3 linked regions of the Macaca fascicularis genome follow. The protein of the gene in region 1 interacts with the protein of each later gene in a biochemical or structural test. Links are inferred from orthologs where the notes say so. Each region holds a gene or a part of one and is shown in the gene's direction. Other genes may lie near its edges.

What was found.
Region 2: the proteins of MAGI2 (region 1) and ADRB1 interact in a test that uses a peptide from one of them, tested with the Homo sapiens proteins (4 studies listed by IntAct, with this or other methods). The link is inferred for Macaca fascicularis from reciprocal best matches to the Homo sapiens genes MAGI2 and ADRB1.
Region 3: the proteins of MAGI2 (region 1) and CRHR1 form a complex in vitro, tested with the Homo sapiens proteins (2 studies listed by BioGRID and IntAct, with this or other methods). The link is inferred for Macaca fascicularis from reciprocal best matches to the Homo sapiens genes MAGI2 and CRHR1.

What each region holds. Positions count from the first base shown.
Region 1 is NC_088377.1:141,973,715-141,983,598, forward strand, and holds the start of MAGI2 (membrane-associated guanylate kinase, WW and PDZ domain-containing protein 2), read left to right. Parts: upstream 1-3,879; 5' UTR 3,880-3,917; coding exon of another isoform or gene 3,918-4,001; 5' UTR 4,002-4,244; coding exon of another isoform or gene 4,245-4,253; coding exon 4,254-4,554; exon of another isoform or gene 4,555-4,726; intron 4,727-9,884. Other genes in the region: uncharacterized protein, read right to left, coding at 2,468-2,529, 3,339-3,879. UniProt on the Homo sapiens protein: Seems to act as a scaffold molecule at synaptic junctions by assembling neurotransmitter receptors and cell adhesion proteins. Plays a role in nerve growth factor (NGF)-induced recruitment of RAPGEF2 to late endosomes and neurite outgrowth.
Region 2 is NC_088383.1:123,083,167-123,093,167, forward strand, and holds ADRB1 (beta-1 adrenergic receptor), read left to right. Parts: upstream 1-4,682; 5' UTR 4,683-4,943; coding exon 4,944-6,386; 3' UTR 6,387-7,754; downstream 7,755-10,001. UniProt on the Homo sapiens protein: Beta-adrenergic receptors mediate the catecholamine-induced activation of adenylate cyclase through the action of G proteins. This receptor binds epinephrine and norepinephrine with approximately equal affinity.
Region 3 is NC_088390.1:67,417,338-67,426,543, forward strand, and holds the end of CRHR1 (corticotropin-releasing factor receptor 1), read left to right. Parts: intron 1-151; coding exon 152-238; intron 239-668; coding exon 669-789; intron 790-997; coding exon 998-1,151; intron 1,152-1,463; coding exon 1,464-1,524; intron 1,525-3,722; coding exon 3,723-3,795; intron 3,796-4,045; coding exon 4,046-4,131; intron 4,132-4,305; coding exon 4,306-4,441; intron 4,442-4,598; coding exon 4,599-4,640; intron 4,641-5,218; coding exon 5,219-5,359; coding exon of another isoform or gene 5,360-5,408; 3' UTR 5,409-6,435; downstream 6,436-9,206.

The sequences.
Region 1 (9,884 bases):
AGAAACAAAGAAAGAATAGTAATGTCTTAAGTCAGGATCCCCAGGATCAAACTCTGAGATGAAGATTGTTTCTGCAAGTGATTTATTATAGAAATGCTATCGGGAAAAACTAATCATGTACCACAGTAAGCAAGATAGGGAAGGAGGTTTCAGGCAAAATCCTAACATCAATATAATTCTACAGGGGAGTCTCAGAGTGTAAATTACACCTCAGGTTTTCTTGCTACTAGAGGCAAGAGGGCTGGTCTTTTATACTCTATAGGAAAGTCCTTGGCAAAGGGCATCTTGGGAAAGAAGTAAACTTGCAGGTGGTTTTGTCTGGCTCTCTGAGTCAGTAGACAAAGTGGGTCTAGTAGTGTTTGGGCATTCCTCCAAAGAGAGTCTCGGGGAAGCCTGCAAGAAGCAAAAGAATGCAGAAGCTAGAGGAAGGATACTCAGTTCAACCAAAGGGATCCTAGGAGATTTGGGTGGAGACCATGTCTGCCACAAGCATCTATCCCATAGAACTCTTCTAAGAACTGAATGCATTCATATCTTTCTTTCTTTGGCTTTTAGGATTCCTAAACTATTTTTCTTCTAGAATAGTATGCAATATTTAGCGTTCTGCTCTACACTTGGAGTGCTTAGTGATGAAATAATTTTTTCTTGACATAGCATAAAATCCAAAAAGGGTAAATAAAGTGAATGTGAGGAATACCAAAATAGAGAGAAAAAATATAGTCTGATCCCAATTTCTGACTCCAAGGATAGTGCTTTCCTCAGGGTTCAACTTTTATCAATCAAGATCCAGTCAAAGCGTGTTAACTATTAGGAGAGGAAAAAAGCCCACTAAAGAACACAGCAATAGTGATTGTTGGGAATAGTCACTATCTGTCAGGCTACAGGAGAGTACCCAAAGAGAGAATAACTAAGAAGAACTTCCCCCTACCCACCCGCCACCCTACTAAGCCTGAGAGTAGGACCTCATTGGAAATAATATGGCTGTGGTCCACTTAATGATCCAGAAATTTAAGGTGTCACACACTGGGCTGCTGAGGAAACCATCAGCTGTGTTTTCAGTAAAACTTGCTAGGAAGCCATTCCACTGACATGCCAGCAGCACTCCATAGAAAGACACACACTAGGGAACTGGCCAAATTTACTGAAGATTATGTAACATGGCCTTCCTGCACACCACTGGTCAGAAAGTCACTCACTGGCCACCACACGGTAGGAGCAAGCAGGAAAGCACTGGAACCAAGAAAAGGAGCCCCTTTCTTTCTGCAGTGTTTCCTTAGCACCTTCTATTGACAAACCTAAACATTGTGCCAACTGACCATAAAGACGTTTACAGATTTCAACTCTAATGTCACAATTTAGGGCAAAGAAGGGTGGCTGTGAAGTTGAAGAGTGCTAAATTAACTGGCACACACCCCAGTGACACGTCTGGGATTTGGGGGATGGGAGAAGCATGCTGTTATGCCCAAATCCTGCTCCATTTGTTTACTTTTTTCCTAATTGCCCCCTGAAAGAAAGCGCAGGCCCAATCTTTTGGGACACTACATACTGAGAGCTGGTATGACACATGGTAAGCGAACAGAGAGTTCAATTCAGTAACTGAGACAAAGTCTAGAGCTGAACCACTTGGGTCTGAATGTTACCTTCACCATTAACTAGATTTGTAGCCTTGCAAAAGTTCATCCTTGTATACCTCAGTTTCCTTACCTGTAAAAGGAGATAACAGTACCTACTTTATCAAAATGTCAGGAGAAATGAAGTATTATGTGTAAAGCCTATAGAACAACATCTAGCATGTAGTTAGAACCTAATAAATATTAGTATCTTCCATGAATGGTAGCTTGTCATTTGGTTTTACAATATAAATATTCGGTTCTCATAATGAGTTTCTATTTAGAACTATGCCTCATAATGCTAACACTCAACTTCTCTGGGTGAGATTAGGCTTTGCTATCAAGTCTTGCCTACTCCTGGGCATTGCTTGCAGATCTGGCTTCAGATCCTGGCACTGCCCCTGGCTTACTGAATAAGCTTCACTAGTGCAGCCAACTTATGGAGGATCTGTTTTCTCAAGTGAAAAAAGACACAAGGTTAAACAAATCATCTTTAAGATCTCTTCCAGTTCTGACTACATTTGATCCCCCTCATCCCCAAGTAGTAAGTTATACCTGAGGGAAAGAGGAAGGGAATTATCATTTCGAACGCCTACTCACCTGTGCCAGGAGAGCACTGCTGTGCCTGCTTTCCCTGATTTCATTCTCATCACAGTCTTAACAGATTAGTATTTTTAAAGTCCACTTAACAACTAAGAAAGCTGAGGCTCAGGAAAGTCAGTTTACTCAAGATCACATTCTCAGTAAGCAGTAGAGTTTGGATTGAAATCTGGTGTTTCTGTTTGTGTCGACTCAACATTTTTAACTGTACTGTTTGCCTCCGACATCACCTTCATCTCAGACATTAAGAATCCTACCTGTTCAGTGCTTTTCATCCTCTGCCTTAAAGAGATAAGTGGGTGTGCAACTTTTTTTTTGTCTGAAACATATCATTTAAAAGTTAAGCAAATGAAATTCATTTACCAGTTACAGGAATTAAAAAAAAAAAATCACTGTTAATGTCTCACAGAAAATAGCTCTCCTGTGGAAATCAGCAGCCTCCCTGCATCCTTTTTTGCCCCTATCCTCCCCTCTCCTGGATGCAAACCTGGCGAAAAGAAGGGAACACTGGTTGGGGTCATCGAGCTGAGTTCCAGCTCCGACTGTGCCATTTTCACTCTCGGGAGCCTTCTCCCCTTTCTCTGTGACTAAAGGAGTGTTGGGCCAGATCGTCTTAAGGTTTCTTCCCCAGGTACAAGCCGACTCTGGTGGCTTTCATGGGCAGGGGAGCGCCTCTGCCTTCTCTCGGCCGCAGGTCCCTAGTTAAATTGTCCATTTTCTCTGCGGAGGCTGCTCATTGCATCCGTTACCTCCACCCCTAGCCCTGTAGACCCTTTCTGTTTCCCCTGCTTGGGAAAAGCGAAGCCCCTTACCCTTGGATAGCCTTTCACTAGACTACCGCAACCCTCCGCGAAATTCCCCTACTGGCGGGACGCGCGGGAGGGGGCCTGCCCGGGGGAACGCGAGGCTGCTTCCCCTCTGCGCAATCAGGGTACGCAGCCTCCAGTTCTCTAACTTTCTCCTTCTCTAAGAGGGAATTTCGAGAACTTTGAGACAAATAAGTGACTGTATAGAGGAAGACATGAAACCTCTCTACACAGTGAACTCCCCCAGGCCACAAGTCTCCCAGGGCTCCCAGGCCTTCTCCCGCAATGCCCCGCTGGGTCCCCCGCCCCAGTTCCTTCTCACGGCAGGATCCCACGCCAGGAGGCTCGCAGAGCCCGAGATGTGGCACCAAGAGCGCCAAAGTCCAGGTCCCGCTAGTTCTGCTCCATAGGAGCCCAGGTCGGAGGAAGTCAGCGCGTCCTCCTCGCACAGCAGCCTGGCGCGCGGCTCGGCGGCACAGAGGCTGAAGAAAGGTCCGCACTGGCTCGAGGCCCTTCCTGCCGGCCTCCCCACGCCGGGCCTCGGCTCCCCTCCTTCCCGGCTCCCGCCTCCTCCCGTAGGCTGCCAGGCGGACCCAGCCTGCCTCTCTCTCTGCCTTCACTACCGGGTCAAGCTGCGGAGGGAGGGAGGGAGGCAGCGGCGAAGCCCTCCCTGGCTCCCCACCCGGCGCGCGCGCCCCTCCTCCCCTGCCTCCTCCCCTATGCCAGTACAGTACAACTAGTACACACACACACACACGCACACGCACCCTGCCACTGCAGCTGCCATGGATATCAGCTAACAACACACACCCAGGCGCGCGCGCGCGTTCCCACTCGCACCACGCAGGAGTGGCCCCCGGCATCCCTACCCTCCTTCCCAACCCCCACCGCACCCGCTCACCAGCTCGGTTACTGCTAGCTCCCGCTGCCGCCGCCGCCGCCGCCGACGCCACCACCACCGCTTCCTCTGCTGCGGGGCCACAGCCTTGAGTGTCATTCAAGGGACAGCACAACCTCACCCAAGCTCTCCTACCTCTGCCCAGCCGTCCCTCTCATCCTCCCCCTTCCTCGTCCACACTCCATCCAAAGAAGAGGGAAAGCACCGAATAGAGGGGGGAGAAGGCAAAGTCTGCTGTTCTTCCCCCTGGGCCCCCTTGCTCCTCCATCCTCATTCTCTCACCACCAACCCCCCTAACCCCAAGGAGCCCCAGGAACTGAGGCGACTCACCCCACTGCCATGTCCAAAAGCTTGAAAAAGAAAAGCCACTGGACTAGCAAAGTCCATGAGAGTGTCATTGGCAGGAACCCGGAGGGCCAGCTGGGCTTTGAACTGAAGGGGGGCGCCGAGAATGGACAGTTCCCCTACCTGGGGGAGGTGAAGCCCGGAAAGGTGGCCTATGAGAGCGGCAGCAAGTTGGTGTCGGAGGAGCTGCTGCTGGAGGTGAACGAGACCCCCGTGGCGGGGCTCACCATCAGGGACGTGCTGGCCGTGATCAAACACTGCAAGGACCCCCTCCGGCTCAAGTGTGTCAAGCAAGGTGAGCGCAGCGGCTTGCTCAGTGTTTTGCCGGGCGGTGGGACCGCTCGGGGCGCAGGGCAATGAAAGGGTGGGCGCGCATGTTGAAAGGGGTGTGTTGCGCGATGATGGGGTAGGGGCCAGAGGGGACCCGCAGTGCAAGTGAGTTTCGCCGGGGATTCCACTTGGGGGCTAAAGGGAGGGGAGGGGCAGGTTGCGGTGTGGCGTGCAACTTTGTTTGCTCAGTTAGACCCTCCCCTTTGGAAGGTGCTCGGCCTGGTCTGACCTCCTCAGAGATCCTGGGGCAAATTGAATGTGCGTCAGTGGCATCACCCTAAGTGGATGAAGAGCTTTTGGGGAATGAAGGAAGGAAAGAAAGAAACAAGGAAAGGGAGGAAGGGAGAGAAAGAAGGAAGGAGCAACTTTAGGGTGCAGCGGCATCACCAGCGGGTCTGGGAAGAGAGGGTGGTGGGGTGAGCGGAGAACTGCGTCCAGCGTTTCTGGGGCTGGGCTGGAGACGCCTGGGTTCCCAGCTGTCCCTTAGGGATCCGTGAGCCACTGCTGGCGAGGAAGGGAAGGGACAAATTGCTTTGGGCGATTTGACGGGTCTTCTGTAACTTTTCCCCTTCTTCGCTCCGCTGTCCCCCTCCCCCGCCCACGGTCTTGTCATGTGGGCATCGCGCGTCACGTGCGCACTGACTAACCCCTGCGCTCACCCCTAGCCAGCCCAGCGGAGGAGGCTCCGGAAGAAGGCGCGGTGCTAGGAGCGCGGTCTAGTGCTGGGCGGGGGTCGGAGGAGATGAATGGTTGTAGGCAGGACTTTACTCAGAGGTTGCCCTCATAGAGTGGAAGTTCTCTGTGGTTGGGCTCTCCTCTGGCTCCGATTTGGGGGGCGTGTTTTGGAGGAGGAGCTGGATGAAACCCTTGCTGGTTCCAGCCCAGGCTCCCTCAGCTCCAACCTGACTTTAAAGAACCTCGATTGGAGGCTGTGATGTAGATTTGGAGAGACTGGAATCATCCAGAACTCTCTGTCTTTGCTTGAAAGAAAATTATGGTGCAGAAGGAGAGAAGAGTGAGATAAAAGTTTCAATAGAGGACAACTTTAAGTAGAATAAAGTAGTAGCTTTTTTTTTTTTCTTTCCCTCACTGCACAATTCATGTGCGGTATGTATGGATATTTGTGGCACAGGCATATCAGCCTAAGGGTTTGTTGTTGTTGTTGTCGTCGATGTTACACTGTTTGTCCTGACTCAAAGGTGGAATTGAGCATGTCATTACCTGCATTTTGCCACTTAATCGTGATCAACTACCAAGAAACGCTCTTACGGAGATGTACTGCACTGTAAAATTATTCTCTAAAAAACTTGTTTTAAAGTAAACAAGAGAAAAAGGAGTCTTGGACAAAATTTCTCAAATGTAAATTGCCATACAAGAAAATGTTTTTCTTGGGGATTCTTGAGTATTAAGAGTATTAATTAATTGAGATAGCTATTATAAGTCAAGGTAGCTCCATACTATACAACACTGAAGGGATATGAGTTTGGTAGAAAAGAAAATAGAGTATCTTGATATTTTTGAAGATAAGATACCTAAGGTTCAAATACAAAGCTTCATGTTAACATGTTCGACGTGAAAATAATACCTTATAGGAATAGATATAAATGTTAAGATCTTTGGGTACAAAAAGTCCACTATGCAACTAATGAGCATCGTTTTGTTGGCCAAATGCTTGGTATTTGTCGTGGAACATGGCTGCAAAAGTTAAGTGTTATTAAATTGGACTTAATAGAGTCCTACAAAGGGATGCCCTATTATGGTTTGCAATGATCACCACATCTTAAATGTTGTGTTCAATTCTGAGCACGCCTGGTTGAGGAGGATGTTGGCAAACTCACATTAGCAAAGAGTAAATTCAAAAGAGAAAGAAAGATTATTGTGTATTATAGATGTATTCTATGAAACGCAGTGGAAAGACTTAACTTGGAGAAGTGAGAATAAAAGCTATCATTAAATAGCGAAAAGCTATCAGGTAAGAAAAGGAATTCTGACTATCCTGTGATAGCCCACAGGACAAAATGGTGATAAATCTATGAGAAATTTTAAAGGATGAAGCCGCTTTACTTTGATTAAATCATGAGCTTTCTAACAGAGTTTTCCAACAATTCGTGAGCACCCTGTGATGAAGTTCCCGTCATTGTGGGTATCCATGAAGAAGCTGAAATGATCATATGCCACGGATTCCTATATAAGATGAGGACCTGGATTCGATATTATTTGAATCCTGCCATAATTCGATCTAATGTGGTCTGTGATCACTCTTGTATTGAATTTTATGTGGAAGATTATTGCTTTTAAAACTAGAATATATGCTTATAAAGTGATATATTGAGGAGAAACTCTCTTTTCATTCTATATTAACCCTGTTTCGTGCTTCACTGGTTCATTGATGATAAATTTGTATAATGATATTCACAGAAACCCATAGGAACCCGATTCATCTCCTGAATCACTATTGACAAAAAACAAAACAAAGTTCCTTTTACCTTGTGTGGACTAAGTAATTCTCTTGTACTTTCTTTTAAATATGATTCATATTGCTATTCTAATCTTTTCCTTGTTAAATCATAGATTAATTTTATTTATGATTATAAAATGAAAATTTCAGAAGCTTTACTATAGTGCCTGTGTGTCTTAGGTTTCAATACAGATGTCTTTTACTGGAAAATCATTTAGAAATTCTTGGCCCAGTAGTTATATTTTGAGAGAGGCAAAAAACTAGCATAGCTGAAAAACTTAACCATGTTTGTTTAGCAGTTGCATTTTTAAAACATTAATGAGATTGATTTTTGAATATTCATTCTAACATTGGGTATTATACAGAAACTACATGCATATCATAGTTTAAGGAAGATTTTATAAAGAAAAGATAATATTTGAATAATAAGAATATTGTTACTAAGTGCACCAGGTAAAATCGCATTATTTACTCAATTTTTATTCACTTGTTTGCCTAATTTTACATTACAGTTATCATAATTTTAATCTGTCATAATTTTAAAAGGAGGTGAGTTGTTGGGATTTTAAGACATATTACATAGTATATATATATATATCATAGTGTTTCTACACTGTTTAAATACCTGCAAAACAATTTTTAAAACTGTTTAATTAAATTCAAGGAATTCTCTTTTTAATTTAAGCTTTCTGCTTTTAATCCACACAGTAATAAACCACATATTAAAATATGGCTTATTGTCACACCCAATTACTTTTTATGAATGATGGCATTTTATTTATAATAATAAACTTTCTGCACCAAAGGATGTAATGCTAAATTAGCAGTAATTCTATGATCTCATTAATGCATCAGACCCAGTTGAAGAAAGTTTTTTGAGTGATGTTGAGATCTATATGGAAGTGCTAAAGGTCTTCTTTCCTTTTTCTTTTCCCTTTTTTAAGGTTTGCCACTAAAGTTCACAGCAGCCAGTTACACAGGCCTTTGTGTCCTACATTCCTTGCACTATGGCTGCTAATGCCTGTAATACCGCATAAAGACCTACATAACCTGGACTTATTTTCCCATTTAGGATCTCACAATGGGAAATAAAAGGCAAAAAAAAAAAAAAAAAAAAAAAATCTAATTCTTCCCATGTGGAAGATGGGCCAAATAAATCCTTTGAAATTCAGTTTTAGAGAAGATCTACATTGCTCTCCCTCCTACTGCTCCTTTCAAAGATACCTTCAAAGGAAAGTAGATCCACATTTATTAAGAGTCATACTTTCTTCTTGACTGACTTCAGGCTAAAATAATAGAGTCAAATCTCTATACTTCTTTGTATTGAAAAGGTAAAAACAAATTATGTCAAATTTTCTGTAAAGATTGACTTTTTTCCATAAAAATGTGAGATATATGAATAGTATTGTTTAATAAACAATAACATTGTTTAAACATTTTGATGAGTTTATTATTTTACAAATAAAGTACCATTAATGTTTTTAACAAGGTTAATGAGACAGTTCTCTTGGAGCATAATTTATAAGTGATTTCAATGTAGTTTTTTGGTAGGTGTAGATAACTTAAATGGTATGACCTCAAATGTTAAATATGATTATTTGCTTTTTATCTGTACTATCTCTGTTCTTGACATTTGAACTGTTTAATCTTTTGGCACGTTTATTATGCTCACTTTCCTTTTCATTGCTTGTAACTCACAAATTCACTTTCATAATGAGAAAAGCATATTCACACTTGACATCTCTGATTGATTATAGTTTAAGTAATGATTTTCAAATATATAGCAGACCCTGGCAGAATCATTTTCCTCAGAAGGTGGGGTAGAGCAATGGTTAAAGGTACACTCTCCTAAGTAGACCACCTAGTTTTGATTCCTGAGTATGTCAGTTAGTGCTAGCTGTATGAACAAGATAACTAACCTGGGGTAGTAATGGTACCTTAAGAATATTAGATAAGTTATGTATTTAAATCGTATAGTGTCTGGCAGGTGACAAGCATTATGTAGATTTTAGTAAATGCTATTGCAAACATATTGGTCATTTTGAGCTAGTGACATTATGAGGTGTTTTTAATTTTCAAGATATTTTACTCAATTCACATTAACTGAAAAATATGAAATGATTGACTAATACAGAGTAATTTGCAAGTTGTATTTTAAGGTTTTTATGCATAATGAAATAAATATTTTATTTGAAAAGAATTTATTTGAAGGATAATATCGATAAATACAATGGAACATATTTTCACCTTTTAAAAATAACTCCCACTGATCCTGCCTTTCCATGTAAACATCTGCTATTTTGTATTTATTTTATACTTTAGACATAGTTTATTTTTACATAGTAATTTATTTTCTTCATACCCCATGTGTTTACTCCCAAAGAATTGGTGAATATATTGAATTATTTACTCTAAACTTGACAACATAGAAATCCTATTAGAATTTATTAATTTAAGTTTAAGAGTTTATACTTCTTATATTAATACATCATTGTAGTTGAGAGTAAGTATCATGCTGTTGAACTTTTACTTCTCAGCTAGAAATTAAGCACCTCATAAAGATAACAATAATAAAACAGTTAATTCATAAGTGTTCACAGTCAACAATGTATAATGAAGAAATGCATCAAATTCAGCAAAAAGAATACTTTGCATTTGTTAGTATTGCAATGTAAATAAGTAAAAATGCAATTTGTACTGCATTTTATAGTATTTTATACTATACTATTTTGTAGTATCTTATGCTACTGTTAAAATACCATTAAATACTATTTAAATCCTATTAAAGTACTATAGTACTATTAAAATACTATTTTATAGTATTTCTATACTTGGTA
Region 2 (10,001 bases), on another chromosome or scaffold:
GTATCATAAACAAAGGCCAAGGAAAAAGACTATTCACCTGGGTCATTTAGGAAGAATAGGTAGTACTTTTTTGGGGGGGGGGGCGGGGTTAGGGTCTCACTCTGTCACCGAGGCTGGAGTGCAGTGGCACAACCATGTTTCACTGCAGCCTCAACCTCCTGGGCTCAAGTGATCCTCCTGACTCAGCCTCCCAGAGTGTTGGGATTACAGACGTGAGCCACTGAGCCTGGCCAGGTAGTGTTTTTTATGGAGGTGGACTTGCATGGCTCCTTTGGAAAATCTCTTACCTATGTCTCACTTTATTTACTACTGAATAGGTATGATATACATTTATCTCATGAGCCTACCTTGCTTTTGTATTTTGAAATGTTTATGTGAAAATATTGACTAGGTGATAAGCAATGGATTGTTGCTGTAAATTGTAAGCAAGAATGAAGACTGTAACTCCTAAAACACTCAAGTATGTCTCATGTGTATAAAAATGAGAATATTTTAATAAGTTAAATATACATGTATGAATCAAAGCTAAATGGTCATTAATATCAAGTAAATATCAGTAAACATGGGAGATATAAAATGTATGAGACAGTTCTGGCTCTCAGTGAGTTTACAATCTATAAGAGAAGAAAAGGGGAAAACATAAAAATTAAATAAGATAACAATATAAGAAGTATCAAAAGGCAACCTATTGTAAATTGCCACCTGAAATGAAATTGGCAGAGTCACTCCTATAGGTCAGAGGAAGGAGAGATCATTTTCAGAAGCAGTGGGCAGGGAAGATAGAGTCCAGCCAGATCTCCAAGGCTGAATTCACCGGGAAGGAGGAGGGGGTTTTGGTGGAGGGAACCCAGTGAGGAAGTATAGATGTATAAAAGGAAGGAGTATGGATCCACAAAAGGAAAAAGAATACAGAAATGCAAGTTATGGGGATAAGGAGAGTTCTAGTATGAAATAGGGCTGGAAAGGCCATTTGGAATCGGACCGAGGAGAGCTATAAATGTCAAATTAAAGAGGTAAGATTGCTGAACAGAAAAGCATCTTGGTCGAAACAGCATTTTGGAAATAATCCTTTGGCTATGGTACGCCAGATTAAATGGAGCAGGGAGGACCAGAGGCAGGGAGATCAAATGGAACCCATGCCAACTCCCGGCGTGGGGTGAAGGTGGTGGGATGGGAAAGGAAGAAGTCGAGGCAGGAACTCCGTGGAAGAAGTGCACGACCTCTCAAGTGTGCTGATCAGCCTTCATTGTTGGAGCTTTCTGTCATTTTCCAAAGCATTGTGAAATATACAGGTTTTTAGAACTGACTCACTTTAACAGTTGCAAGTGAAGAATGAAGAAATGAAGGAGTTTTATTCAACTTACAATATCCGATACCTGTAAAAGTTGATATGTTGAACCTTTTCTTCTTGATCTTACCTAAGAACAAAAAGTGTTAGGCTAAAAATAAAGTTAAAAAAAAAAAAAAACACCAATCATAAAATGTAGGAATTAAAGGAGTTCTGAGAACATTTTATTTTTATTAGACAACCAACTCTAGTTGAACATGAACTATTCCAAACTCTTCTGTCAGTAAAATTGAAGGAAATCCCCAAGAATTCTCGAGATCCCTGTGTTGGTACTCCTGGTTTCGAGTGTTTATAATGTAATGTATTATACAGAAATTCAGAGAAACTTGATATATCTCTGAATGAGCAGGGAAAAAAAGTTTCAAGAAAGTTTTCCAACAATTCCAATGTCACGGTGTGTTTATATATATAATGGTGATATGACAAAGTTACTGGCATCTGGCTTCTGCCCTGAACCTCTACGACCAAGTTCTGGCCTTATCGCACACAGAAAAGCAATGCCTTCCACCCTTCGGGGGCATTTAAGGTTGGCACACTCTATTCCGGTAACACCACTTGACAGAAAGATGGCGAGGAAAAGCCTCTTCCCCACATTCCCTATGCCTCACCCTGCAGCTCAGCACTCAGAACTCCTTTCCTGGGCAGCGTCAATTTCAACTTCTTCCAATCCCTTGGCTATTTTGAGACTGCCCCTTGTGGGTCCAGAAGGAAGCCAGGAGGCCAGGCATGGTGGCTCCTGCCTCTAATCCCAGCACTTTGGGAGGCCAACGCGGGTGGATCACCTGAGCTCAGGAGTTCGAGACCAGCCTGAGATGGTAAAACCCCGTCTCCACTAAAAATACAAAATTAGCCATGTGTGGCGGCACGTGCCTGTACTCCCAGCTACTTGACAGGCTGAGGCAGGAGAATCACTTGAACCCGGGAGGCTGAGGTTGCAGTGAGCCAAGATCACGCCACTGTACTCCAGCCTGGGCAACAAGAGTGAAACTCTGTCTCAAAAAAAAAATAAAAAGAAAGAAGCCAGGAGTCTCAAGCTTGCAGTAACTTGGATAACTTGGGGTGTAGTCTCCTTCCTCCCCTCTTTCTTTTTTTTTTTTTATCTTTTTTTTGAGACGGAGTCTCGCTCTGTCACCCAGGCTGGAGTGCAGTGGCCAGATCTCAGCTCACTGCAAGCTCCGCCTCCCGGGTTCACGCCATTCTCCTGCCTCAGCCTCCCGAGTAGCTGGGACTACAGGCGCCTGCCACCTCGCCCGGCTAAGTTTTTGTATTTTTAGTAGAGACGGGGTTTCACTGTGTTAGCCAGGATGGTCTCCATCTCCTGACCTCGTGATCCACCCGTCTCGGCCTCCCAAAGTGCTGGGATTACAGGCTTGAGCCACCGCGCCCGGCCTCCTCCCCTCTTTCTAACTCCTCTTGTTTCCTGGCCACCCCTCCTCAACCTCCCCAAGTTGCAAAATCAGCTGATAAGCCATGGGCAGGAGTGAATAAACAAATCACTCCCCAGTTTTAACGCGCTGATGATCAAGTTTGGGCCTAAAGCAAATTCATATGTTTGCATTTATGTAAGAGAAAGTGGTTAAAACTGCTTGATTTTATATAAACTTGAAAAACATTACTTTTTGCTTTTGACCTGGACAGCTGTGGAAGTCGGTCTTTCCTTGCAAGGTAAGGATATGAGCTTAGTCATACTGACGACCAACATCAAGGAACATGTTGATGTTCATTACAGACACTGTTCTTATTCCAATGCTAGAAGGACCGGTGAGCATTATATAACATTTTCATGCACCCTTACATAAACAATTAGAAGCTGTTTACTTCTCAAGGACTCAATTAAATTTTTTTTATTTTTTTATTTTTTTTTATTTCAGGCCTGAGCTGAGGACACTACAAGAGCCAAATTAGAGAAGGGGCTTGCAGTCCTGCCATATTGCGTATTCATGGCTTTCCCGTCCCCCCACCCCCAATATAATCCTTTTAAGCCAGGTTAACAACTCACTAATTTCAAAGCGATTCATTTGCCAACTCAAAAAGCACAGATACAACTTTAAATGCTTTCGGATTTTAATCCTCTGGAGTATTTATATGTTTTCTTGTCTTATCCCTCCAAAACTAATGTCAGAGTTTTGAGAATCTGGGAACTTGGGCAAAGGAGAAAACAAGCACGCAGACCAAGGAATCTGAAATCGCAGTTCATGACGTCAGCATAAACCGACAGTACCTTTTTGTTTGTATTGACCCAGCTCAAATTATAAAATCACATGAGTAATAAAACACAAAATACAGGTGTTGTCACTGAAAAGCCTAAAATGTAACTAAACGCGTTTTCCCCCCTCGCGGTGGTATCATTTACTCTGTATCTCAACGTTTCTGTCTCCCTAAGACTCTCCCTTTATATCGTGAGCACACATTTTTGCATCATGCTCACACATTCATTAGCTAGGACTGAGGAGTGTGTACGATTCCAGCGGGCCCTCAGCGTTAGCTGTTAGATGCACAAACCTTCACTTCCTTTCCACATCTACTGCACTTGAGGTTCAACAGAGGATCCTTGCAAGAACAGCGCCCAGAGAGCATTCTTGACAGATGCGCGCTTAGCTCCAGCAACCCGCTCTGCTGGGAAGTTTCTTCTAACCACTAACACCCACCTCCAATCCCCCAAGCTGTCACGACGCAGGCTGGCTGGGTCCCGTCTTGACGGGGGAAGGGTTTTACACACATCCTGCTAGGCTGCCCCACATCACAACCAAGCTCGCAGGGCAAACTCCTCCAAGCCTGGCGGACAAGCTGTCCCAGGCGCTCTGGCGCTTCCTGAACACCAAGGTCCCCTCCGCGCTCAAGGGAGCTAGCGCACTGTTACGCAGGGAACCCCGGCACTGCAGGTCGAGGGGATGCCGAGGGAGCGGGGGCGCAGCAGGCAGCCGACTGCTGTAGGCAAACGGCGCGCAGGAGGCAAACGAGGCGCAGGAGCCGGTGCGAGAGCGAGTGGGCGCTGAGAGAGGGGGCGGGGCCCCAGGGGGGAGGCGAGCGCGGGAGGGGGCACGGGAGAACAGGGACCAGGAACCAGCGGGCGCAGGAAGGGGTGCGTCCGCAAGAACCCGCGGGCGCACGGGAGGCACTAGCTCCACGATCAGCTCGGGACTCTCAGGAGCCGCTCAATTGCCAACGGGAGGGGAGTGCGGGGAGTTGGAGGTTGGGGGGGCTGACCAGACGGGGGCGTGCCTTTGCCCGGATTGGCTGCAGGAGGCTGACGCGAGGCCCCGGGGGTTGGCTTGGGGAGTGGGAGCGGGGTGGGGTGGGTGCTGGGTGCCGGAGCTGCGGGCCCGGCGCGCTCAGAAACATGCTGAGGTCCCGGCGGCTCTTCCAGCAGCGGCAGCGGCTCCAGCAGCAGCGGCGGCGGCGGCGGCGGCGGCAGCGACAGCGCTCGGCTCCGGCGGGAAAGGCGCCCGGCGCCCATGCCTCCGGCCCCGGGCCGCGGCTGCCCTGACCCGGCCGCGACCTCCCTCTGCGCACCCCGCCGTCCAGGCTTCTGGGGTGTTCCCCAACCAAGGCCCAGCCCTGCCACACCCCCCGCCTCCGGCCTCCGCAACTCGGCATGGGCGCGGGGGCGCTCGTCCTGGGCGCCTCCGAGCCCGGTAACCTGTCGTCGGCCGCACCGCTCCCCGACGGCGTGGCCACCGCGGCGCGGCTGCTGGTGCCCGCGTCGCCGCCCGCCTCGTTGCTGCCTCCCGCCAGCGAAGGCCCCGAGCCGCTGTCGCAGCAGTGGACGGCGGGCATGGGTCTGCTGATGGCGCTCATCGTGCTGCTCATCGTGGCGGGCAACGTGCTGGTGATCGTGGCCATCGCCAAGACGCCGCGGCTGCAGACGCTCACCAACCTCTTCATCATGTCCCTGGCCAGCGCCGACCTGGTCATGGGGCTGCTGGTGGTGCCGTTCGGGGCCACCATCGTGGTGTGGGGCCGCTGGGAGTACGGCTCCTTCTTCTGCGAGCTGTGGACCTCGGTGGACGTGCTGTGCGTGACGGCCAGCATCGAGACCCTGTGTGTCATCGCCCTGGACCGCTACCTCGCCATCACCTCGCCCTTCCGCTACCAGAGCCTGCTGACGCGCGCGCGGGCGCGGGGCCTCGTGTGCACCGTGTGGGCCATCTCAGCCCTGGTGTCCTTCCTGCCCATCCTCATGCATTGGTGGCGGGCGGAGAGCGACGAGGCGCGCCGCTGCTACAACGACCCCAAGTGCTGCGATTTCGTCACCAACCGGGCCTACGCCATCGCCTCGTCCGTGGTCTCCTTCTACGTGCCCCTGTGCATCATGGCCTTCGTGTACCTGCGGGTGTTCCGCGAGGCCCAGAAGCAGGTGAAGAAGATCGACAGCTGCGAGCGCCGTTTCCTCGGCGGCCCCGCGCGGCCGCCCTCGCCCTCGCCCTCGCCCTCGCCCTCGCCGGTCCCCGCGCCGCCGCCCGGACCCCCGCGCCCCGCCGCCGCCGCTGCCACCACCGCCCCGCTGGTCAACGGACGTGCGGGTAAGCGGCGGCCCTCGCGCCTCGTGGCCCTGCGCGAGCAGAAGGCGCTCAAGACGCTGGGCATCATCATGGGCGTGTTCACGCTCTGTTGGCTGCCCTTCTTCCTGGCCAACGTGGTGAAGGCCTTCCACCGCGAGCTGGTGCCCGACCGCCTCTTCGTCTTCTTCAACTGGCTGGGCTACGCCAACTCGGCCTTCAACCCCATCATCTACTGCCGCAGCCCCGACTTCCGCAACGCCTTCCAGCGACTGCTCTGCTGCGCGCGCAGGGCTGCCCGCCGGCGCCACGCGGCCCACGGAGACCGGCCGCGCGCCTCGGGCTGTCTGGCCCGGCCCGGACCCCCGCCGTCGCCCGGGGCCGCCTCGGACGACGACGACGACGATGTCGTCGGGGCCACGCAGCCCGCGCGCCTGCTGGAGCCCTGGGCCGGCTGCAACGGCGGGGCGGCGGCGGACAGCGACTCGAGCCTGGACGAGCCGTGCCGCCCCGGATTCGCCTCGGAGTCCAAGGTGTAGGGCCCGGCGCCGGGCGAGGACGCCGGGCACCCGGGGAGGAGGAGAGCCCGGGCGCCCCGGAACGACTTCCCGGGGGAACGAGGAGATCTGTGTTTACTCAAGACCGAAAGCAGGTGAACTCGAAGCCCACAATCCTCGTCTGAATCATCCGAGGCAAACAGAAAAGCCACGGACCATTGCACAAAAAGGAAAGTTTGGGGAGGGATGGGAGAGTGGCTTGCTGATGTTCCTTGGTTTTTTTTCTTTCTTTCTTCCTTTTTTTTTTTTTTTTTTTTTTCTGTTTGTGGTCCGGCCTTCTTTTGTATGTGCGTGTGATGCATCTTTAGATTTTTTTTCCCCCACGTTGGTTTTTGACACTCTCTGCGAGGACCGGAGTGGAAGTTGGGTGGGTTACGGGAAGGAAGAAGCATTAGGAGGGGATTAAAATCGATCAGCGTGGCTCCTATCCCTTTCCCAGGAACAGGAGCAGTCTACCAGCCAGAGGGAGGAGAATGACAGTTTGTCAAGACGTATTTTCTTTTGCTTTCCAGATAAATTTCATTTTAATTTCTAAGTAATGAGTTCTGCTGTCATGAAAGCAAAGAGAAAGGATGGAGGCAAAAAAAAAAAAATTCACGTTTCAAGAAATGTTAAGCTCTTCTTGGAACAAGCCCCACCTTGCTTTCCTTGTGTAGGGCAAACCGGCCGTCCCCCGCGCGCCTGGGTGGTCAGGCTGAGGGATTTCTACCTCACACTGTGCGTTTGCACAGCAGATAGAACGACTTGTTTATATTAAACAGCTTATTTATGTATCAATATTAGTTGGAAGGACCAGGCGCAGAGCCTCTCTCTGTGACATGTGACTCTGTCAATTGAAGACAGGACATTAGAGAGAGAGAAACAGTTCAGATTACTGCACATGTGGATAAAAACAAAAACAACAAAAAAAAGGAGTGGTTCAAAATGCCATTTTTGCACAGTGTTAGGAATTACAAAGTCCACAGGAGATGTTACTTGCACAAAAAGAAATTAAATATTTTTTAAAGGGGGAGGGGCTGGGCAGATCTTAAAAACTAAAATAAAATTCAAACTCTACTTCTGTTGTCTAGTATGTTATTGAGCTAATGATTTATTGGGGAAAATACCTTTTTATACTCCTTTATCATGGTACTGTAACTGTATCCATATTATAAATATAATTATCTTAAGGATTTTTTATTTTTTTTTTTTATGTCCAAGTGCCCACGTGAATTTGCTGGTGAAAGTTAGCACTTGTGTGTGAACTCTACTTCCTCTTGTGTGTTTTACCAAGTATTTATACTCTGGTGCAACTAACTACTGTGTGAGGAATTGGTCCATGTGCAATAAATACCAATGAAGCACAATCAAGATTATGTACTGTGTGTCTGTAAAGGGTCAGTGATAATGAAAAAGACAGTTTGTTTTGTTCAAAATATAGACTGGATTTCCCATAGAGCTCTTTTAATAGACTTTCATGACTCAATAACATAGCAAAATGCCTCCAGACCTAAATAAGGTGTTTACCTACTGAGAGCTGCAGATTTGTCCTAAATTTTCACAGCCAGATTCAAGGTATTCTAGACTACTTGTAGGCACTTTCAAGATCCCATCTGCTGCACTTGACTTAAGAAGTGACATTTGGGATTGCGTATCTCCTAAAAAAAAAAACAAAAAGTGATGCGGTCATTTAACTCAGCTGCAACTTTTCATGGAAATGCAGGAAAGACTAACTCATTGAATGATCAGTTGCCTACTTGGAATGCAATAAGTGGCTTCCACAGCTTATTTTTGTTTTCCAATAGAAAATCACAGCCTGCAGATGATCAGTGTGTGCAGATTTCTCCAGAGGCTGTTTAGAATGAAAAATGCTTTCATGGTTAAGCAAAAATGTATAAAAGGACTTCTGAAGTAAATGTTTTTTCTCTTATGTAGTTAAATAAATCATTTTGCCAGAAGTTCTGGGTGGACAGATCATAGATAAAAGCAAGTGTGAAGGGATTTAAGTTTCTAACAAAATTACGGCACCCGAAGGATGGGGTATTTTTCATAAAGTTATTTCCTAAAGGAAAGGATAGTGCAAATCTGTTCTGAGATTAATTTTACTTTCTCCAAAATATATTTAAAGTACTTACTATATTTTTAAATAAGCTTTTTATTTCATGACCGTACAGTAAATAAGCCAAAGTAAAGAATATTAACTTCTGGCTTCTGCTACACTTTAAATGAGCAGAGTATTCTCTAACAAGGAAAAGTTGAGACTGAACATTCTTTTTTGCAACGGCATACTCTAAAGACAAGGCAACCTTCTTCTGAGAAAGGTTAGTGACGTAGATGTTTTAGAGACCAGCGGAAGGTTGCATGAACGGTAACAGCCTCAACAAAAGCTGCTATGAAGTTTAACCCCTTTCCAGCAAAAAGTAAATAAATAAATAAAAAGGAAAAAGGAGAGCTTCTTTAAGAATACAAAGATAAATACTTAAAGAAACATGTTTTGAAGAATGTAAAATCAGTCTCAGGATGAAATGTCACTGTAATTTCCCTAGGAACCAAATATGGTTAATTTCTATCCACCCCCGACCATGAGTACATAAGATGCATTTTCTTAGGGGTTTTGTCCTTCTTTGTTTGAAATACTAAACACAGAAGTACCAGGTAAATGCTTCATTTTCTTGGTTTCCTATTTATTTGCTTATTTTGTCTCGATGTCTTCACATTTAAATAAAAAAAATCTTCCCAGCCCAAAACATATATGCAGGCCTGTCAAATCTCAGGTCTTAAAATCACTCAGGTCTTAAAATCATGAAAGTCCTTTAAGCTTTAAGAACAAATGTGTATAATTTAACTACTTAGTACACAGGTTTAGTCACTTTAGTGAGTTAGAGGAAACCACTATAATCTTGGGGCCGGTGTCTATGTATTGGCAGGAAATAGAAAAGATTTTTGTGTGATCTCCTAAGCTCTCCAACTGAGAATTACATGGATTCAGAAACAGACCATGTCAGTGATTCCAAATCCCCATGAAGACTACTTTTTGTCTCTTTTGAAGAAGGCAGCCATTGATTTATAATAGGAAATGTGGGGAAGCTGGGCTGTCAGTCCCAGTAGTGATGGTAGTGGGAGGAGAAAGCAGCCAGTCCTGCTTAATCTGGTGAGAATGTGAACTGCAGAAACAGGAAGAGGGCATTGAGTGTGCATAAGGGCAGCCTTACCCATAGGCTTGTATGTATCAATGTACCAAAAGCATAAACCTTAAAATCAAAGCAGGAAAATCTGATCAAGATTCATAATTTGCTACATTGGAAGTTACATTCAGGTTGAACACTAACAAGAACTCAATGGAGATTTTCCAGGATATATAAATTCTCTCTTCGACGTAGAAATGTGTAATTGGTATAGCATATGGCTTCATCCTTTGGTGAACTTGCCTATATAAAACTTTGCAAATAGAGTTTATTTATTTGTTTCTTAGTCTATGCTTTCTTTGGAATTGGAATTATTAGTAACTCTTAAGTGGCTATTGTGAAATCTTTCCTTGTTAAGCACATTTTCCTAGCTTATTTTAATTTCACATTTTGTTGAATGTGCTGACTTCCTCTGGCAGTATATAGAATTGCC
Region 3 (9,206 bases), on another chromosome or scaffold:
GGTGGGGGTTGCTGGGAGAGGGTGGTAGGGCCTGGCTTATCTGAGAGTCTCAGGTCTCCGGGAACCTCTGGCAGGGCCGCTTTGCCCCCTCCGCAGTAGCTGCTGGAATGGTGGGGAGGGACAAAGCTTGTTTTATGTCACCCACACCCAGGACGGGCTGCACCCATTGGGGTGACCAGGCAGATGGTGCCCTGGAGGTGGGGGCTCCATGGAGTGGTGACCCATTTCAGGTTCGAAAGTACATGGGCCCCAGCACTACCGCCAAGGATGCAGGTGGCAGAGCCAGGGATGGGGATGGTTGGGATCAGGAGCCGAGCATCAGGGCTGGAGGCTGGGAGCAAGGCTGACCCCTGTGACTGTCCATCCTGGAATGGCAGGGAGTGGAAGGCACCCCCAGGGGAAGCAGGCATCCCCAGGAAGCCAGCTGCCCTGGTCCATGGAGTGCCAGGCAGAGCCTGGGGCTTTTGTCTGGGTGGGTTGCAGGCAGGAAGGGCTCCATGGGGCATTAGGAGAGCCTTGCTGTCACTTCCCTGTGTGACTTGGCCAGTCAGCCCTACCCTGTGCCTCAGTTTCCTCATCTACACATCTGGGTTGGGGTGATGTGGGTGGCCTGCCCCTTATCCTCTCTCTCCTGTCGCTCCCATCATCCACCTGCCCTGCTGCACCAGGAGCATCCGGTGCCTGCGAAACATCATCCACTGGAACCTCATCTCCGCCTTCATCCTGCGCAACGCCACCTGGTTCGTGGTGCAGCTAACCATGAGCCCTGAGGTCCACCAGAGCAACGTGGTGCGTCCTGGCGGGGGAGCGGGGAGCAGGTCAGGCCAAACCCACGTCAGAGAAGGGGCCCAGGTGGGCCTGCCCTGCAGAGGAGGAGCCCACAGAACAGGAGTGGGATCCCAGGGTGTGCCCCGTCCTGCCTGGGGGAGGCCCAGGGCCAGGGTTTGGTGCCACCCCTGCCCCTCATCATCATCTTTGGTTGGGGGTGGGGTGGCAGGTCTGGTGCAGGTTGGTGACCGCCGCCTACAACTACTTCCATGTGACCAACTTCTTCTGGATGTTCGGTGAGGGCTGCTACCTGCACACAGCCATCGTGCTCACCTACTCCACCGACCGGCTGCGCAAGTGGATGTTCATCTGCATCGGCTGGGGTGAGCTGGGCAGCCACCTCCCCAGCCTGGGCAGTGGCAGCCACCGTGCTGCCGTCTCCTCACCCAGACTCAGGCCAGAGGGCTGGGGGGCCTGAGGGATGGAGGTCGGGTTGGGGCAGTGGGGTGTGTGCCATAGCCCTCTGCTCCTCTTGGGGGTGGGGGGCAGCAGGAGCACCTTGAAGGAGGTGTGTGAGTTTGAGATCCACCCTGGGTAACCCTAGACCGCCTGGAGCCTGGGCTGCACTGGGGTCCTCCAGGCCCACATTCCCCAGCCCCCGCTGAGGGCTCTGTGACAGCCCATCTCTCCCCCAGGTGTGCCCTTCCCCATCATTGTGGCCTGGGCCATTGGGAAGCTGTACTACGACAATGAGAAGTAAGTCACCTCCTTTCCCTTCCTGCCCCCAAGGTTTAGGCTCCCAGCCTAGCTTGGTGACACTCCCAAGGGCCTTGGGCCATGCTGGCTTTCCCCTCAGGACCATGGCTTCTGCATCTGTAAAGGGAGGGATCTGGGGGGTTGGACTCATTCAGAGGGTCCCTGCCTGTGCTCTGCCTGGGTGGGACTGGACAAACAGGATCCAGCCTCCTTTATCTGCCTTGAGCTTACACAGGAAGCAGCCTGGAGCCAGACTGCCCAGGTTCAGAATCGTGGCTCCGTCATTAAATAGCTGTGTGACCTTGGACGGATTACTGCAGCGTGCCTCAGTTTCCTCATCTATAAAATGGACATACTTCCTCAAAGGGCTGTTGTGGGGTGATATCAGTCCATCTATATTAAGCATTTAGAATCGGACCTGGCACATAGAGCAAATGCTGTATAAATGTGTTCTCGTAATATTAAGACATCTTAATAGAAGAGTCCGTGAATTTAACAGAAGTGGACCTAGATGATCCCAGAGGCTTCTTCCAGCTCTGAAGTTCTTTGGTTCCTTATGAAACGGACTCAGGTGTTTCCAGTCGTGCCTGGAAACTTGATTTCTGCTGCAGTGGTGCTCAGCCTTGGCTCACATTAGAATCACCTGGGATGCTTCGAAAAGTACCAGTGCCCAGGCTTCACCGCCAGAGAGTCAGGTGTAATTAGTCTGGGGTGTGGCCTGGCACCCAGAATTCTTGAAAACTGCCCAGGTGATTCTAATGTGCAGCTAAGATTGAGAACCACTGAGAGAGGGGGGGGCAGAAAAGGTGGACGTGGATGGCAGGGGAGCCCCAGGACCTTGTTTGCCAAACAGGTGTTCCCAGGAACCTATCTGACTGACTGACCTGGCGTCCAAGTGGCCTCCACCACAGTGACAAGCCCTCTCCTCACCCCACGGAGGGGAGGGGGCCTGCATGGCTTCATTGGGCTGACGAAGGAGCCTGGAAGATTATCTTGCGTGTTTAGGAGGTTGACTCTCTCCTGACTCAGGCTAGCTGAGGCCTTGGGAGGCCGAGGCGGGTGGATCACTTGAGGTCAGGAGTTTGAGACCAGGCTGGCCAACATGGTGAAACCCCATATCTATTAAAAAAAAATACAAAAATTAGCTGGGTGTGGTGGTGCGCACCTGTAGTGCCAGCTACTTGGGAAGGCTGAGGCAAGAGACTCTCTTGAACCCAGGAGGCAGAGGTTGCAGTGAGCCAAGATCGTGCCACTGCTCTCCAGCCTGGGCAACAGAGCAAGACTCCACAAGCCTCAAAAAACAAAGCAAAACAAAAACTGTTTGGGCTAAAGGAGAAAGTGAGTCTGAGCGGCTCTGAAGCCCCACCTGGTGGTGAAAATTCAACACTGCAACAGAGGGGATCTGGGTGTGAGAAAGCAGAAACGAACTTGCAGACCAGAGGCTCAAGGACTGGACCCAGCCCACAGAAGCTGTGTGTGGCCGGCAGGGTGTTTTCTGGAAACTCGATTTTGTAGCCAAGCTTTAAAAAATCCAAAGGTTTCGTATACAAATCTCAATTTCTGGCTTATGAGATCTAGCCACTGGGGGTCTTCTTACCCACGGGGACATAAGGGCTTCCAGTTTGTCTGGTCCCCACCCACTCCCCAGGCCTCCCTGGAGCTTGCTGGAGGGACACTCAGGAAAATGCAAAGCAATTACCCCCTGCAGCAGGTAGAACCTGTGCAGATGTTCCTCTCAAGGTCGTTCGGGCTGCGATTGGACAGGTTCAGGCTGAGATTGAGAACTGCTGGGTGCCCACTGGGTGACACGTGTGGTACCACTCCCACCAGCAGCCCCCCAGAGGACATGCTGGGCCTCAGCCACAGCCAGGGGACCGTGAGGAGGAGCCAAGGATGCAGCTTGCGTATTGAGCTCACGCCCATTCCCGGCCACGCAGTCTTTCCCACTGTCTGCCTCCTGCCCCGATGCTTGCTTCCAACTTTGCATCTCATCACAGAGGATGCTGTCCATTCTGCAGATGGGACAACTGAGGCTTGGCAGTGGGATCAAGTGACTTGACCTTCTGCCAGGGTTGGAATTGGGACATCTACCTCCTGGCTTCCAGCCCCAGTCCTATCCTGGCCAAGCACTGTCCCTCCCCATGCCACCGAGGCAGATGCAGATGATGACTCCTCCCCTTTCCTCTGTGGCCTTCTAGGTGCTGGTTTGGCAAAAGGCCTGGGGTGTACACCGACTATATCTACCAGGGCCCCATGATCCTGGTCCTGCTGGTAAGACCCTGGGTAGGGGCAGGAGACAGGGCCCAGTGGGGAGGGGCGATCAATGCCAACCGTGGACAGAAAGGACCCCTCTGCCTAGAGGTGGGGGCCACCCAAGGAGGGGGCATGGGCCAGGGATGTGCAGCTGCTCCTGAGGAGGAGGGAGAACAGCAGGAGCACTGAGGCCAGAGAGGCCAGAACTGAGAAGCCTGGGTCCCCAGCCTCTTGCACACTCCAGCCTGCTGGTGTGCTCAAATTGCAGATCAATTTCATCTTCCTTTTCAATATCGTCCGCATCCTCATGACCAAGCTCCGGGCATCCACCACGTCTGAGACCATTCAGTACAGGTAACCGGGTACCACCTCCCCCAGGCCTCCCCCTGATGAAACCCCTGCTCCCCATGCCTCTCACGTGCCAGAGACCTGCCACTCCCTCCCCCGACCTGGCCCTCTGCTGAGCCAGCGGGCAGCCAGTCCTGGGGTGGGCTGTGACTCCAAGCCTCCCCACCTGCCCCACCCCAGGAAGGCTGTGAAAGCCACTCTGGTGCTGCTGCCCCTCCTGGGCATCACCTACATGCTGTTCTTCGTCAATCCCGGGGAGGATGAGGTCTCCCGGGTCGTCTTCATCTACTTCAACTCCTTCCTGGAATCCTTCCAGGTACAGCCCTGGAGGGGCACACTGGCACCTCCTTGGGTGGGGATTCTCCCAAGCAGATGCCTGGAGGGTAGGAGGCCAGGGAGAAGCAAGGGGCAGCCCAGAGGCTGGGTGGGCAACACCTGTGACCGACCTTTGACGCCTCCTCTCTCCTCCCCAGGGCTTCTTTGTGTCTGTGTTCTACTGTTTCCTCAACAGTGAGGTGAGGACCTGGGGGCCCTGCGGCGGGGCTCAGGGCTGCAAGGCCTGTTGGGGCTGGCGATAGTCTAGAGCCTTCTCCTCCCCTCCCAGGGCTGGCTCTCTCCCTCCCTGTTCCTCCTAGGTCCCTAGGGGGATGCTGCTGGGAGCCCCAGGCCGGCCCCTCCCACCTGTCCACTCCCACAGTGACAGCTCTCTCCTTTGCTCTCAGAGGCCGCTGGCACCAGGCTGGAAGCCAGAGCTCCAGTATCTTTGATGAGCCTGTGACAACCAGGAAGGGCTGAGCCCTGGGCAGGGGATATGTGTGGGTTGAGAGCAGGAAGCCTTGATGGCAAAGGCCATATGGTGTCTTCGCGTGGGTTAGAAAAGGGTGCCCCTTCCCCAGGACATTTGAGAAACCTGTTCCGGCAAATATGCAAAGCAGCCATGTTAAGGCTGTGAGTGCCATCGCCTCCTGAGGACTTCTGTGTACTCAGCTGACCTGCACAGCCTCTTACCTGAGCAGCTGCTCATGCCGACCCAGGGGAGGGAGGGGGTCCTGAGCGCCAGGCTCAGATGTCATGCTCCTTCCTGTGCCCACAGGTCCGCTCTGCCATCCGGAAGAGATGGCACCGGTGGCAGGACAAGCACTCGATCCGTGCCCGAGTGGCCCGCGCCATGTCCATCCCCACCTCCCCCACCCGTGTCAGCTTTCACAGCATCAAGCAGTCCACAGCAGTCTGAGCTGGCAGGTCATGGAGCAGCCCCCAAAGAGCTGTGTCTGGGGGGATGATGGCCAGGCTCCCTGACCACCCTGCCTGTGGACGCGACCTGTTAGGTCTCATGCCCACTCCCCCAGGAGCAGCTGGCACTGACAGCCTGGGGGGCCACTCTCCCCCTGCAGCTGTGCAGGACTGTAGCTCATGAGTGGAAAGTCATCTACAGGACTGGGCCAGTCCCGGGGCCTCTGGCTTCCCTGCCCAGTCCTCCGTGGAGAAGGGACGTGGAAATGAATGGAAATGGGCTGCTAGACACCCACAGCAGCACGCGCGTCCCTCCAAGGCTGTCTTCTCCCAGAGCACAAGAAGTCCAGCCCACTGGGACCTGGGGCTGCCCTCGGCAACTGTGGGGAGGCCGTTTGCTGCCCCGGGGCATCACGGGCAACTCGTGACAGCCTCTGACTCACCATGATGACGCCTCTGGACCTCGGTGATGCCTTCCGACACCACTGGGAACCAAGGGCCCTCGCTCAGGAACCCTGGAGACAGAAGTCAGGTGTCATCGTCAGATGTGTGGCCACAGCACTAGAGTCACCCCCCAGGCCTCCAGAACCTCATTGACACTGTGGCACTGCCACCAGCAATGCCCTGCCTCGCTGCCTTCATCCTGAACACTTACTACCCTGCAGGCCAGGCCAGCTTCCCCTCACTTAACCACAGGCAGTACCCTCACCCCACACCAGTCACCTCCTGCCCCTTTTCCTCTTTTGTGAGAAGAGGGGGCTGGAGGGGGCAGAGTGGCCTGTGAGCAAGAGCCAGGGGTGTCCCAGCCCCGGCCTCTGGGGCAGAGCTTGTAGCCCCGGATGGCCTCTGGGGCAGGACCACTAGCTAAACAAGCCAGGAGAAGGCTCCTGCCCAAGTGGCTCTTGGGACAACATGCTGCTTACACTCTAGGTGTGGACTGGCTACAGCCCCCACTGACCTGCCCATGTCCAGAGGGACTGGACAGCCAGAGCAGGGCTTTGGGGGGCACTAGAAGATGAGGGTATCGGCTGTGAGGCGGGTGGCTGGTATAAATAATAATATTTATCTTTTCAACCAGCATTTGTGAAGGCCTGGACTCCACAGGGGGCTGGATGGAGAGGGTGTCTCACAGCAGTGGGAGCCATTTCCCAGCTTTCAGGGGCTGCTGTGTTGCTGGGAAACCTGACCCCACTCTCACCCCGGCAAGGATGGTGCCAGGAGAGCCCCCGAGGGCCAGGAGAGGGGTGAGGGCAGAAGGGAGGGCTTCGAGGAACAGGTGGATCTGGCCAGGGCCCCCTTAGTTAGGGACAGCTTGTTGTGAGGAGGTCAAGTAGAGGGAGAGGAGGACCAGGGTTAAGGATGCAGAGGAGGGACACCATGGGTCAGGGGAAGGAACAAAGGAGACAGGAGTGTGTCCCAGCCCTGGGCAGGAGCTGAGCTGAGGAATGGGAAGCAGAATTAGGGTGCTGGGCCACCGGACAGGCCAGAAATGCAGCTATCTCCGCTTGGGCACCACAAGAGACCATCCCTGAGACCCTGAGGTTTCTTGTGCAAACTCGAGGGAAGGGGAGTACAGAGAGGGCAACAGGGAGTAAAGCCAGGCAAGGAAGGCAGGGGAAAGCGGGGAGGCTAGAGAGGGACACAGTAGCCTGTGAGCAAGAGAGGTATGTCCCAGCCCTGGCCAGTGCCGCTCTGATGTGGGCAGCACGCTCTTGGGCTCCCCTGCCTGCTGGCTTTAGTGCCCCCAACTCTGAGCTGGAGCTTGTAGCCCTGGGTGGCCTCTGGGGCAGGACCAACATTCCAACACTGTTGCGGGTGCCTAGAGCTCCCTTCCGCTGGGGAAGCCCTCCCTCATCCCACCCAACAGGTGAGGGAGCTGGGGTATTTATCCACCATCTCCCATCAGCTGTGGGTTGAGGGCTGCTCCCAGGGGGACATGAACTCTTCTGCATTCCCACATCAGGCTACAGAGGGCCAGAGCGAGTTCTCAGGCACAGAAACGCGCAGGTGGGTGGAAGCCAGTGTGTGCTGCATTGGAGGGGCAGGGGGTGTGGGTGGAACACCAGAACTCGACACAGGGCCCCACTGAAGCCCGGGCCTTGTCTCTGGGTCTCTCTAACCAGGGAGGAGAGCCCATGGGTGGGGCATATGTATGCACATGTGCACTTGTGCACCCAGGCGCACACAAGAGCTTGCAGCGTCAGGACACCAGGAACAGACAAAGTCAACGCAGTGCCAGGAGCCCCGCGGCACCTGCTGAGGGAGGGCAGGTTTCACTGGGAAGGGCCTGGGCTCGGGGGTAGCTAAGGATATCCTTGAAGGCCCTGTGGGGTACTCTGCTCTGCCAATTCTCCAAGCTCTGTGCCCTGAAGTAGAGAGATGGGGTGGAGGACCCAGGGAGCACCATGACAGAGGCAGGCTGGAGGCTTCCAGAGCAACTTGAGGGTATTGTGGGAAGTGGAGAGAAGCCAAGTAAAGGGTCCTGGCTGCCTGGAGAGACCAGAAGTGACCTGAGTCTCTAATGGCCACAATGGAGACGGCTTTCCCAAATCTGCCTCTCACCCAGTGAAGGCAGAGACATGAGAAGGCAAGGCTTTCCCGAGACAGTGCCGGCGGGGATGGGATGGGGGGCACACCCCAGGGGTGGAGGAGCTGAGAGGGTGGGGGTGGGGGGGAGACAGGGAAGGGATGGTACAGACCAGGAAGTGTGCGTAAGCGCAGCCTGGCCGCACCCCGCTTTCCTGCGTGGGCTTCCTGGCAGCTCTCACTGCCAGGCACCTTCTGGGCACCTACTGTGTGCTTAGCACTGTGCTAGGCCTTGGGTGAGAGGGAGATGAGCAGCCACCCCAGGGGGGCCCCCGGTACCCCAAAAAATACAAAGCTCAGAGCCTCTGGCTCTGGAAGGCCACCAAGAGGACAGCTCCAAGACAAGTCTGGGGGTCATCCGAGAAGCTGGAGGCGGAATCCCTGGGCAGGCAGATGGAGCCTGGGGCTCCCCTCCCATTCTGAGGGTGGAAGGGCTGCTTCAGGGCACAGCCAGAGACATCTGAGCCTCAGCACCTGCAGCCCAGAGGCCCAGAGTGTTCTGTGTCCCGTGGCAGACGTGCGCTCTGGGCTTCGGCGCAGACAAGGCGTCCCTGAGGCCGGGCATCTGGGCCATTCTGCTCCGGTTCGGCTTGGGGTGGCGAGGCCCCTGTGGGAGTGAGTGGGGTATGATGAGCCGAAAAACACACATGCGACTACACAGAGTTGGGGGAGCTACTGGGGGCCCTCCAAGCTGCAGTGGTGGGGGAGGGTCACTGGAGACCCTCCAAGACCCGAAAGACCTCATGCCTAGAAGAATTTCTCTCCACACCATGCCCAAAGGCTGCGGTCCCCTAATGCTACCCCCACCTAAGCCCATTTCTCCTTGACATCCTCCTTCATGGGCACAGAACAGCAGTGGAGGCAAAACCCCACTGTTTTTCCAGTTCAGGCCACCCCCTCCCCGTCCCTTAGTGTGACAGCACAGCCCCTGCCCAGAGGTCCTCAGCTTCACCTCCAGGCCTCCTTCTCTAGCCCCCTGCTACTGATGGCTCAGCTGTCCTGGGACCAGGACTGGGAGGGGAGTCAGACTGGGAAAACCATGTGTTAGCGGGTGAGGTGGGTTTTGAATCCATAGACTAATACTTTCATTGTGGGTATTGTAGATTACTTTGCCATCCACAAATGTCCTTATAACATTTGTCTTCTAATCCTCCACTAGCCCACAGAGGTAGTAACCCGCCTGTTTTGCAGCCAGGGAAACTGAGGCCTGGTAGCTCCCCTGAGGTTGAAGGTCTGGTTCCAAGTCTAAGGCTTTTTTCACC